Linked DNA regions of Nothobranchius furzeri. The protein of the gene in region 1 interacts with the protein of each later gene in a biochemical or structural test. Links are inferred from orthologs where the notes say so. Each region holds a gene or a part of one and is shown in the gene's direction. Other genes may lie near its edges. The genes, in order: dynamin-1, endophilin-A1 and itsn1.

Region 1 (4,196 bases):
AGTCACCAACTGGTTCTGGGCAGGTTCTCCTCTGGGGACATGGGTCTGAGAGGTGAGACAGGTGTTCCAGATGGAGCCCCACGGGTTCTGAGCACACCTTCTCATGGAAACCTGATCTGGACCCGGATGTTGCTGGATGTCCAACTAACCTGAACACTTTCAGACCCGTGGGTTCCCCTCAGGTTATCCTGCGGTGGAGGATTCCAGCTTTAGGACAGACTGATGAGTCTTGTCTCACCTTTCTGTTTCTCAGGTGATGGCAGAAGTGATGCAGAGGATCCAGCAAGTGTCTGACCTGTCCGAGCAGTTGTTGGATACCAGGAGACACCTGCTGGGACTGAGCCAGCATACTGGGTACCCGACTCACTCCGACACTAAACAGATCTTTCACAGATAATCAGCTGTTTGCCACGATTTTCTACCTGAGTTGTTTTCTGTGGGCGTGTCTTCAGATCGGAACACCTGACACTTCTCAAGGGGATCATCGTCCTTGAGGAGTTCTGTAAGGAACTTGCTGCAATCGCCTTTGTCAAGAAGCCTCTGAATCGAGACTGACTCGCCTGGAGCAGGAATCACCTGGACGTGTACCTCTGTGGGGATATCACCAGGTGCATCTCGCCTGAGGACCAGCAGCACGTGCACCTGAGGAACGCCTGGTTGAACCAAGAGACCAGTGTCTCACCTGAGTTTGGATAGGAGCCGACAGAAGTGGCATCTTGTCTTTGGGAGGCGATGAACCACGTGATCACCTTTTGTCACTATTTAAGCCACGCCCACTTTCTGTGCAGCTCGCTAAATGCCTCCTACCTGTAGTAAGGATTTATTACCTGTCAGCCAGTCACGTGACACAAAGGAACCCGACGAGGACAATAAAACTGAACAGGTCTCCGGAATCAAAGATCCAGACCAGGACCTGAGAGCTGCACCTGATCCAGGTGCAGCACCACCAGATTTACTGTTTTATTTCCTTAAATGTGTTTTATGTTAAAGACGGAATCCTCAAACCATCGTTGTGTTTCTCTACTTTCTTTACTCTTAAGCTCAGAGTCAGACACAGTCTGGGCCGACCAGAACCTCCACATGCCTACATCACTAGTGGTTCATGTGAACTCTGTAATGAGTCACCTGTTCTGATTCTTTATCAGGAATTGAATCGTTTTAGATCAGCAGTCTGGAACGCCTCCCAACACACCTGGTTTTAGGTGACTGACAGGCTTTTGACACCTGCTGAACAACTGAATCACACACTCCCTATAACGTTAGGATTTTCAAAATAAGGCTCTGGGACTTTTATTGTGAAGGTCTGACGGAACTCCGTGTGTGTGTGTGTGCGCGCGCCTGCAGCATCCTTGCGGCAGAGCAAAAAGGAGGAGGAAGTGAAGGTCACAGCTGCAGGAGCATCCTCAGCCTCCCGATCCATCAGCAGCTTGACCGGCCGGACCGAGCGGCACGCCGAACCGCCGCCGTCATGGGGAACCGGGGCATGGAGGAGCTGATCCCGCTGGTGAACCAGCTGCAGGACGCCTTCTCCTCCATCGGTCAGAACGCAGACCTGGACCTGCCGCAGATCGCGGTGGTGGGCGGACAGAGCGCCGGGAAGAGCTCGGTGCTGGAGAACTTCGTGGGGAAGTGAGTCCGAACCGGGCCCAGCGGTCTGTCTGCATGTGTGTGTTGGCAGAACCGGACCGGGTTGCTGTGTGTTACATCACGTGATTACGATTCGTGTTTGAGCTGCGATTCCGTTTATTCTCAAAACCGCTGATTGGTTATTGACGCTCCTGATTGGCCTGATGATCACGTGGTCAGTAACACCGGCATTAAGATCGCAGGTGAGACTGGTGAGACAGATCCTCACCTGATACGAAAAGGTGCGCGTGTCAGGTCACTGGATTAGGCAAAACTCAGGGATTAGCAGCAGGTGAGGAGGCGGACTGAGGTGGTCTTTGGGTCCTTACAGGTCCCAGTCCAGCTGACAGCCGCAGACCTGCGGTGGGATGACATTAAATAAGCGCCCCCCCCCCCCCAAGGTCTCTGTGGTTCTGCAGGTCTCTATAGGTCCCTGCAGGTATCTGGACCCTTGCAGATCTCCAGGTCCCAGCAGGTCTTTGTGGTTCTGCAGGTCTCTATAGGTCCCTGCAGGTATCTGGACCCTTGCAGATCTCCAGGTCCCAGCAGGTCTTTGTGGTTCTGCAGATCTCCAGGTCCCAGCAGGTCTTTGGGGTTCTGCAGGTCTGTGAGGTGTTTGAACTGTTTTCCACTAGACTGGATCAGAAAGACTACCAAATGTCTGACGCTCATTAGGAACACCAGACTTGCTGAAAGAATATTAAGTGTTGCGCGCGCGCGCTCGCACACACGCACTGATTATCTGAACTAGTTGAATTATGGCTGAATTTAAACCTAAACACTCATCAGGTTTTAGTTTTTCTGTCTCTGACCTGAGATCAGCGGTCAGCAGCGTCGGCTCCTGGGACTCGTCCGCTTGTTCCACGTTCATATATTTTGTTGGAGAATCAAGTTCAGAAGGTTTCTTAGTGCTGGTTCGTGATGTTCCAGTCAAATAAACGAGAGCATCGTGAGGTCTGGATGCGTTTAGGGTTCTACGTGCGTCTGTTTTATCACCGCAGAACGTCCCAGTGCTGGACAGAATGATGGGTCTTGAGATGTTTGGATAGAAGACCTCTTTAAGTCAGAATCAGAACAGCACAGGTCCAACATCTCCACCCAAACACTCTTCACAGGGTCCATGGAACCTTCAGCCTGTAGGTGGACAGAAACCAGCTCTGCCGAAACGTTCTGGTGTTTCTAAACATCTTTTGAATTCAAATTTTAAAATCTTTCTGACCAAAGCAGTGAATTAATCCTGGTTTCTGCAGCAAATCACTTCATTGGACACTTTGAAGTGAGAAGATCAGAGCTGAGGACAGCAGGTCTGAGGTCTGTAGTTTGAGTCCTTCTGAAAGCTGACTCCTGATTGGCTGATTATTTTTATCTTCGGCCTGGGGGGGGGGCGCTCTGTCTGGATCCCTGCTCTCATTGGTCGCTGCTGATCACATGATCCTCGACAGCTTCAGTCAAATCATGGCACGACAATACCACCGTGTGTGTGTGTGTGTGTGTGTGTGTGTGTGTGTGTGTGTGTGTGTGTGTGTGTGTGTGTGTGTGTGTGTGTGTGTGTGTGTGTGTGTGTGTGTGAGAGAGAGAGCTAGAGATCCACACCGTCTGAATTTTGTAATATTTTTCTTGAGCAGCAGCGTTTGTATAAGATTCACATCATGTTAAAATAGAATAAGTTTGTGACGCTCAAACTGGTCTGCTTCCTCGTTTAGCCGATACTTTTTACCAGGACTAAAGGCTTTAGGCAGTAAACTGTCATATTTTACTCATCATCCATCCATTTTCATCCGCTTATCCCGAGTCGGGTCGCAGGGGCAGCAGCCTGAGGCCCAGACTTCCCTCTCCCCAGCCACTTGGGCCCAGCTCCTCCGGGGGAATCCCAAGGCGTTCCCTGGCATTTACTCATCATACCAAACAAACATCTGCCCCCCTGTCAGCTGTTTCCTGCTGGAACAAACCAGTTATATTAAAATCTGAGAGTTCTGCAGCTGCAGGTGAGTTAGGATTGCACGGTTCTGGTGGGTCGACTGATCTAACACCGGACCCAAATAGGACAGCTTTAGGGACTCAGCTGATCAGGCTGTCGTCATCACGGACCAGGAAATCCTCACGGTCTCTAAAACTGTCACCGACCAGATCCTGCCATTAGTGGGATCTTTGAGAGCATCCTTTGTGTTTTATATGTCTACTCAGTAATCACACTCATTAATACACACCTTATCACGATCAATGCACTAATAAGTGCAATTGCTGCATAATTTGAAGATGTACATTCAATTCATCCATCCACTGATTTATCTCTTAAATGCCACATATTCGTTCAGGTTCTCATCTTATTCTCAGTTCAGAGTCAAGGATGCTGACGTGTGTGTGTGTGTGTGTGTGTGTGTGTGTGTGTGTGTGTGTGTGTGTACACGTACGTACGAGGATCTACATGTCTAAAAATATCTGAAATGTGGCTTTAATTCTCTATTTTGTCATTTCACCGGCTGTGCAGCCACTTTTCCTAAAGCGTGCTTTTGCCTGGGTCAGGGTTTAAAGTTGTGAAATTTTCCCACTAAATCAAAACAATGGCCAAG
Region 2 (3,649 bases), on another chromosome or scaffold:
ATGGAGCAGCATCCCTGATCAGCACTTGCTGCTCCCTTTGTGGCCAGCTAAGCAGAAATAATTATTTCCGAGGAGAATCGGAACTTAAAACTAATAAACCTGCAGTCAGCCAAGCTGAACACATGATGTTTATTGTGTTTATTACAGGTTTCATGAACTCTTGAGTAGAAATTACGAGGAACCAGTTCAATGCAGGAGCTTCACTCAGGAAAACCAGCATCATCTTTTCATTTGTCGTTTCTAAAGGATGTTGATGTGTTTGACATATTTTAACGGTGTTTCTGTGTAAATTAGTAATGTTGTAATGACCGCAGAGAAACATCGTTTAATTAATAAGAATTTTAGTCAAAAGACTGAAACTAAATGAAAAAAGATTTTAACACTGGTTTCAAGTTAGAAGTTTTATTTCTGCTGTTTACATAAAAATGGGTGCTTTTTTATCAGATCGTTAGTTTGTGTTTTTAATTTTGACTCTTTTCTGAATGTGGATCTGGGTGAAAAAAGAACCGTTTAAAAAAAAAGTCATTCATTCCTAAAAGCAAGAGCGGCTTTTATTCGACACGAACACGGGGAAAACGAGAATTCACCCAGTGAAAACATTAAAGAAAAGTCACTCGTGGCTTTTGTGCAACAAACACAAGTTAGACCGTTTGTGTGTGGAAACAAGATCAGAAACCACCTGCTCTTGAACATTTTACGTGTTCAAAGCTTTAACTTGTTGTTTTAATACTTTTATTCTTGTTTTCTGACTCGGATTGATTTTTTATTTGTTTATTTTGTTTATTCATTTAGCAGACGCTTTTATCCAAAGCGACTTACAATTTATAACCTATAGGGCGTGTTGTGATCTGTGGGGGAAACCCGGGGGAAACCCACGCATGCATGGGAAGAACACGCAACTCCACGCAGAAAGGCCACAGCTGAGTTTCGAACCTGCAACCTCCGTGCTGCGAGGCAACAATGCTAACCACTGCGCCACCATGATTTCTAGATTTTTACTTGTCATCTAATTATCATTCCTTTATTTATTTTAACCTGTTGAATTAAATAATTTTAATGAAGTCTTAGTGAGCTTGAGTCTATTATTTAGCCTGTTTGTTACCCTCTGTACCTTATTATGATCTATTAACTACACCCGTATGAACCCGTGGGTTTGATCTCACACCCGAGTTCTGTAGAGGATTCGACACACTTTCATCTCCCAGCAGCACTGTGGTTTCTCTCCATCATCGCCCCGAATGCAAACAGATGGGTATTTTATAGACCTAAAGAGTCAAACGGGACAGTTTTAACCCTCGTTCCTTCTGTGTGTACGTGGGTTTCTCTCTGCAGAAAGTCAGCGAGAAGGTTGGAGGAGCGGAAGGAACCAAACTCGACGATGACTTCAAAGAAATGGAAAAGGTAATTAGCTTTGTTTAAATGTGACCTGAAGCATAGGGGCAGTGGAAGAAGTGAGCAGAAGTGTTAAAGCTACTGTCAGTGGCCCATTAGGGTCCCCATGGCAACCAAAATCAACTGAAAGGTGCCTAAACTGTGAGCAGCAGAAGGATCAGGTGGGTGTGCATGTGTTTGATCTTTCACCACATGAGGAGGTAAAAAGACTCGTCACTTCCTGGTTTAGAGAGAAAACAAGTGTTTGTACTAAAATGGTTTCACGTCGCAAAATTTAAGAGTGGATTTGGGAGTTTTTTTAAAGCTGCAGGAGGAAATTCCTAACGGAGATAACAGTAACTACACATTTGATCATTAATTATAATAATTCATAGAAATATTCATGTTCTTGTTATTACTGAAGTAAAACTTGAACAGGTTTTTATTTAGGTTAAACGGTGCTTTTAAAAATCTAACATTAAAGGAGCGGTTTTACAGATGAGATGTAAAACATCCTATTAATTTTGGTGTTTGGTTTCAGCTACCGTTTGTTTTTAACATCATTTAGCGGTGAAGCAGCAGTGGATGACGGGATCCAACATGAAATGGCTCCTCTAACTCTGCACACGGTCCAGATAAATCCAGCGGTTTTATTTAAAACTCCCGACAGCTGGTGAGATGTTTACGTTTAACCTGTGAACAGCGGGGGGTAAACGGGGATGTTTCTACCAAACGTGTCCTCCGCAGAAGGTGGACGTCACCAGCAGAGCGGTTCTGGACATCATGACCAAAACCACAGAGTACCTTCAGCCCAACCCAGGTAAGAAGCATGCCAAGCTGCCCTCAGCAGCTTCCTGTGACCTCCACTCACCGCTCTGATCCCTCCTCCCAGCGTCCAGAGCCAAGCTGAGCATGATCAACACTATGTCCAAGATCCGTGGCCAGGAGAAGGGGCCCGGGTACCCGCAGGCCGAGACCATCCTGGGGGACGCCATGCTGAAGTTTGGACGAGAGCTGGGAGAAGAGTCCTGTTTCGGTGAGTCCCGACATGGAGATGTAGTTTTTACTGGCTGTTGGCCTCGACTCCGCCTCCAGTCTAGTGTTGTATTATGACTCAAGAGACCGTAAGTCAACAATAGAGAACATCTGTTCCAGGACCAGAGATCTTCCACCCAGAACCAGAAGAACTCTAACAGTAACTCAGATTCTCTCCTCGTGATTCCAGGAACGGCGCTGATAGACGCCGGTGAGGCCATGAAGGAGCTCGGGGAGGTGAAGGATGCTCTGGACATGGAGGTCAAACAGAACTTCATCGACCCTCTGCAGAACCTCCATGACAAGGACTTGAAGGAGATACAGGTGCATAAACTATTCAGACCCGGTGGATGGTCCGATCTGTCAGCCGGATCAGATGGTTACTGGTTTCCTCTCGCCTCGCAGCATCATCTGAAGAAGATGGAGGGCCGTCGTTTGGACTTCGACTACAAGAAGAAGCGTCAAGGGAAAGTCCAGGACGAGGAGATCAAACAGGCGCTAGAGAAGTTCGACGAGAGCAAAGAGATAGCCGAGCAGAGCATGTTCAACCTGCTGGAGAGCGATGTAAGTGACCCAGTCCTTGAAGAACTGGTTAGACACGCAGCTGTGGCGGGAAAATACATTCCCTCATATCCAACATAACACATGAAATCCTAATTTATACTAAAAAGTCAAACAAGTACATAATATTTACAAAAATTTAAAAAGGTTTCATGTATTAAAATTAAATATTTAGATTTAAATGTCACGGTCAGACCTAGTGACGATCAGCCGGATCCAACAACAGCCAAACACAGAGAAAGATTTAAAGATTTTATTAAAGGACTTGTTCAAGTGAGCGGGACCAGCAGGAGTCGGTTCCGGGTGGCGTGGCCCGGGACACAGAAAACAGTCAGCGAGGGAGATAATTCAGATGTCTTCATCTGAAGAGTGACTGACCTTCTGAAAACAGCAGCGGTGAGGAATGCTGATGAAGGTGAGTGCTCAGATTCAGGCTGGAGCTGAGGCAATAGACGGGTTCCTTGGTTAGGCAGGCAGAGGTCAGTAAAGAACAGGGAGGCAGGTTCAAACTCTCGAAGGACTGGCAGGACAGCAGACGATCTCGCACTGAGCAGCAGGAGCCAGGTGCTTAAATAGGGAGCAGCACAGGTGGAATTAATCAGCTAGATGACTGCTGCTGCAGGGAGACAGGAAAACACAGAGGTCAGGGCATGATCATGACATTAAATGTTAAATGATGACA
Region 3 (3,649 bases), on another chromosome or scaffold:
CTCAGAGGCAGGACCGGTTGGTTTCCAGCTAATTATGCAGAGCGTATACCCGACAGCGAAGCCCCAATCAGCCTCCGCTCCACTTCCTCAACCACACCCACTTCAGCCCCGCAGCCCATGACCACGCCCCCTCCGGCTCCTGGACACACCTCCTCATCCACATCATCTGGCAACAGTAACTGGGCAGACTTCAGCACCACGTAATTCCCCCACACGACAACATGATCTGACTTAAAAACTTTTTGGATGAGAATGAAGATTTTTCTGTGTAAATGTTTCCAGATGGCCCTCAAACACAACAAGCCAATCAGACAGTGAAGGGTGGGACGCTTGGCCAACTTCTTCAGCCAATCAGAATCCATCTCTCAGTGTTCCATCTGCACAGCTACGACAACGCTCCGCCTTCACACCTGCAACTATGACAACAGGCTCCTCCCCCTCTCCTGTACTAGGACAGGTAGTGGAAACATTGTCTCAGATATTGATAAAGTCATTGATCACACGAGTCACAGATGACCATGAGCTGCGATATCTGTCTGTCAGGGAGAGAAGGTGGAAGGGCTCCAGGCTCAGGCTTTGTACCCCTGGAGAGCAAAGAAGGACAACCACCTTAACTTCAACAAAAACGAGGTAGAACCCTCATCACTGCCACACGATAACAGGAAACTGTACATTTGCCTGATGGCGTGGATGTTAATGTTGATGCAGATAATAACAGTGTTGGAGCAGCAGGACATGTGGTGGTTGGGAGAACTTCAGAATGGACAACGAGGCTGGTTCCCCAAAAGTTACGTCAAACTCATCTCGGCCAACGTGACCGTTCCCCCCAGCACTGTAGCTCGAAATAAAAACACAAGGTAGGGTCGAAACCTCCGCTCTCGCCATATTTATCCCATGAAAGTCACAAAAGTTTGAATTTACGTATGTCTCACATCTCTTAGTGAATCTGGAATGTCAGAAAGCCCACCCAATGGAAAACGCCCCTCATCTTCTCCGACAAAATCCTCCGACACCGGAGAAGGTACCTCATGGAAACATTTCAGTACATCACAAATATAACGCATCTATTATTTACACTTTACTTTTCTTTTCCTACAGAATATGTGGCCATGTACACCTATGAGAGCACAGAACAGGGAGACCTGAGCTTCCAGCAAGGAGACATCGTCATGGTGACCAGGAAGGAAGGAGACTGGTGGACAGGCACGGTCGGAGGAAAGACTGGAGTCTTTCCGTCCAACTATGTTAAGCCACGCGATTCATCAATAGAAGTGAGAGCTCACTTTGATTAGTTAGTTTCCAGATCATTTGAAAGAAATGTTTGTAATCTCTCTACATCCTTATCTGAAGTCACTGGGACCCGCAGGGAAGACCGGCAGTCTGGGGAAGAAACCAGGTCAGTGCTTACAGCCTGAAGAGTTCCTTTTACTTTTCTCTAATGATGTAAATTCATTTTCTCTGAATCTACCTTGCATTCTGTTGGAAATAACTTTTGTAGTTAAAGCTCCAAAGCAGGAAAACAAACCCGCTTCTCTTTTTCAGAGATCGCTCAGGTGATTGCAGCCTACACGGCAACAGGAGCAGAGCAGCTGACGCTAGCTCCAGGACAGCTCATCCTCATCAGGAAAAAGAACCCCGGGGGCTGGTGGGAGGGCGAGCTCCAGGTACTCAAGTCATGTTCACATGCGTCAAGTCTGACTTGGTTATTTACCTCCCTATAAGAAACTGGGTTTGAATGGAACAGGTTTTTGTTGTTTTTATGAGGTTTGTGGATTAGTGTCTGATATGTGGTCACTTCACTGATCCAGGCTCGAGGGAAAAAGCGCCAGATTGGTTGGTTTCCAGCCAATTATGTGAAGCTTCTGAGTCCAAGCACCAGCAAAACCACACCAACAGAACCAACTCCTCCCAAACTGGCTCCTGCCAGCACAGGTACACACTACTCCAGAACACATGTTTGTGTGCCGTTTTAGATTTGGGGCTATGGTTCAGGAAAAAGATGGAATAGGTCCCCTGGAGCGGGGTGGAGTCTTTTCCTCAAGCAGAGTCTTGACGTGTAGTTCATGAGTGTTGGTAGGAGGAAGCAAGATACAGACTTCTGCTGTAAGGTGGTAAGGAAGAGAGAGTTATACATTTTGGAGCTCCTTAACCATAACAACCCAAACCTGGGAGACCTGGGATGGATCCGTCTGTGAGGCAGATGTTGCTAAAGTGGTCAAACGTCATCTCTGGATGAGCTCTATTCCAGGTATCTGTCGGCTGTGGGACTGTCCTGGCTGGCACGTCTCTGAAACTGCCACAGAGGTCATAACAGTTATAACTGTGTGTATATAAATGGCCTGTATTTGTATAGCACCTTCTTAGGGTTGTACGACCCCCCAAGGCACTTTACAACACAATCAGTCACACACTGATGATTATGAGCTACGCTTAGCCACGGCTGTCCTGGAGCGCGCTGACAGAGGCGAGGCCTGCTGAACACTGGTGCCACCGACCCCTTTGACCACCACCAGCAGGCAAGGTGGTTAAGTGTCTCGCCCAAGGACATGATGGAGCCTGGCCAGAGCAGGGATTGAACCTGCAACCTCCCGATTACTGGACAACCCGCTCTACCTCCTGAGCTACTGCTGTCCCAACATAACAGCTTTGTCCAGTTAATTGCTTTTCGTGCCCTTCACCTGTAATTTAGTAGCAGTTGAGCATGACAGCAAATGAAATGTCATGAGCATTCACAGTCAGATCAACAACAGGCACTCCCTCTCACTCACGGTTCAGCCAGACCTCACCTACATGCCGTTTACGGTTAACTGACTATTAACCATTAAGAGCATCAATAGTCAGTTAGACATTCTGGAAACGTGCATGTCTATATATATAAATCTGGTGTGTGTGTGTGTGTGTGTGTGTGTGTGTGTGTGTGTGTGTATATATATATATACCAGATTTAATTTTCTGTCTCCCAAAGAAGGTAAAGGGAGTTTGTGATAGACAAGAAGCACAGCTTAAAGATTCATTAGCTGTACTGTTCATTATTCATAAAACTTTGTCAAAGCAGCTTTCTACAAAGCCACAACCAAGAGCTCTGATTTCTGAGCCTGCCCCCAGTGGCAGCAGCAAGAGCCAGTCACAGTTACAGCTTTACATTAAGGACCAAGAAAGAATCCTTTCGGTTTGCAGCTAGCATGTTGTCCCCTTGCATGTGGGTTTTCTTCGGTACTCCGGTGTATTCTCACAGGAGAACTATGAATTTAGGTCATTTGGATCAAAGCTTCTGCTGCATGAATAAATGTAAACAATCCAGCTTTAATCATCCCTGTTTCCTGTCCTGAAGGTCTGTGTCAGGTGATCGGCATGTACGACTACGTGGCCCAGAACGACGACGAGCTGGCCTTCCAGAAGGGTCAGGTGATCACAGTGCTCAACAAGGATGACTGTGATTGGTGGAAAGGAGAGCTGAATGGGAGAGAGGGCCTGTTTCCTAGCAACTACGTCAAGCTGACCACAGACACTGATCCGAGCACACAGTGTGAGTACAAGCACACACAGCCTTCCCTGCAGAGTGCGTCTCACACTGACACACACACAGAGCGTCCTAAAATTAACATACAATGTACACACTGAAATACACACACACACACACACACACACA

Evidence for each region.
Region 2: the proteins of dynamin-1 (region 1) and endophilin-A1 form a complex in vitro, tested with the Homo sapiens proteins (2 studies listed by BioGRID and IntAct, with this or other methods). The link is inferred for Nothobranchius furzeri from reciprocal best matches to the Homo sapiens genes DNM1 and SH3GL2.
Region 3: the proteins of dynamin-1 (region 1) and itsn1 form a complex in vitro, tested with the Homo sapiens proteins (2 studies listed by BioGRID and IntAct, with this or other methods). The link is inferred for Nothobranchius furzeri from reciprocal best matches to the Homo sapiens genes DNM1 and ITSN1.

Annotation. Positions count from the first base shown.
Region 1 is NC_091750.1:35,494,734-35,498,929, reverse strand, and holds the start of dynamin-1, read left to right. Parts: upstream 1-1,315; 5' UTR 1,316-1,468; coding exon 1,469-1,629; intron 1,630-4,196. Other genes in the region: FHF complex subunit HOOK-interacting protein 2B, read left to right, coding at 254-354, 453-555. UniProt on the Homo sapiens protein: Catalyzes the hydrolysis of GTP and utilizes this energy to mediate vesicle scission and participates in many forms of endocytosis, such as clathrin-mediated endocytosis or synaptic vesicle endocytosis as well as rapid endocytosis (RE).
Region 2 is NC_091742.1:89,729,615-89,733,263, reverse strand, and holds part of endophilin-A1, read left to right. Parts: intron 1-1,332; coding exon 1,333-1,401; intron 1,402-1,912; exon of another isoform or gene 1,913-2,044; intron 2,045-2,118; coding exon 2,119-2,191; intron 2,192-2,263; coding exon 2,264-2,407; intron 2,408-2,596; coding exon 2,597-2,730; intron 2,731-2,811; coding exon 2,812-2,970; intron 2,971-3,649. UniProt on the Homo sapiens protein: Implicated in synaptic vesicle endocytosis. May recruit other proteins to membranes with high curvature. Required for BDNF-dependent dendrite outgrowth.
Region 3 is NC_091752.1:40,932,765-40,936,413, reverse strand, and holds part of itsn1 (intersectin-1), read left to right. Parts: coding exon 1-200; intron 201-282; coding exon 283-457; intron 458-543; coding exon 544-630; intron 631-708; coding exon 709-857; intron 858-941; coding exon 942-1,021; intron 1,022-1,098; coding exon 1,099-1,271; intron 1,272-1,350; coding exon 1,351-1,396; intron 1,397-1,542; coding exon 1,543-1,664; intron 1,665-1,808; coding exon 1,809-1,932; intron 1,933-3,331; coding exon 3,332-3,526; intron 3,527-3,649. UniProt on the Homo sapiens protein: Adapter protein that provides a link between the endocytic membrane traffic and the actin assembly machinery. Acts as a guanine nucleotide exchange factor (GEF) for CDC42, and thereby stimulates actin nucleation mediated by WASL and the ARP2/3 complex.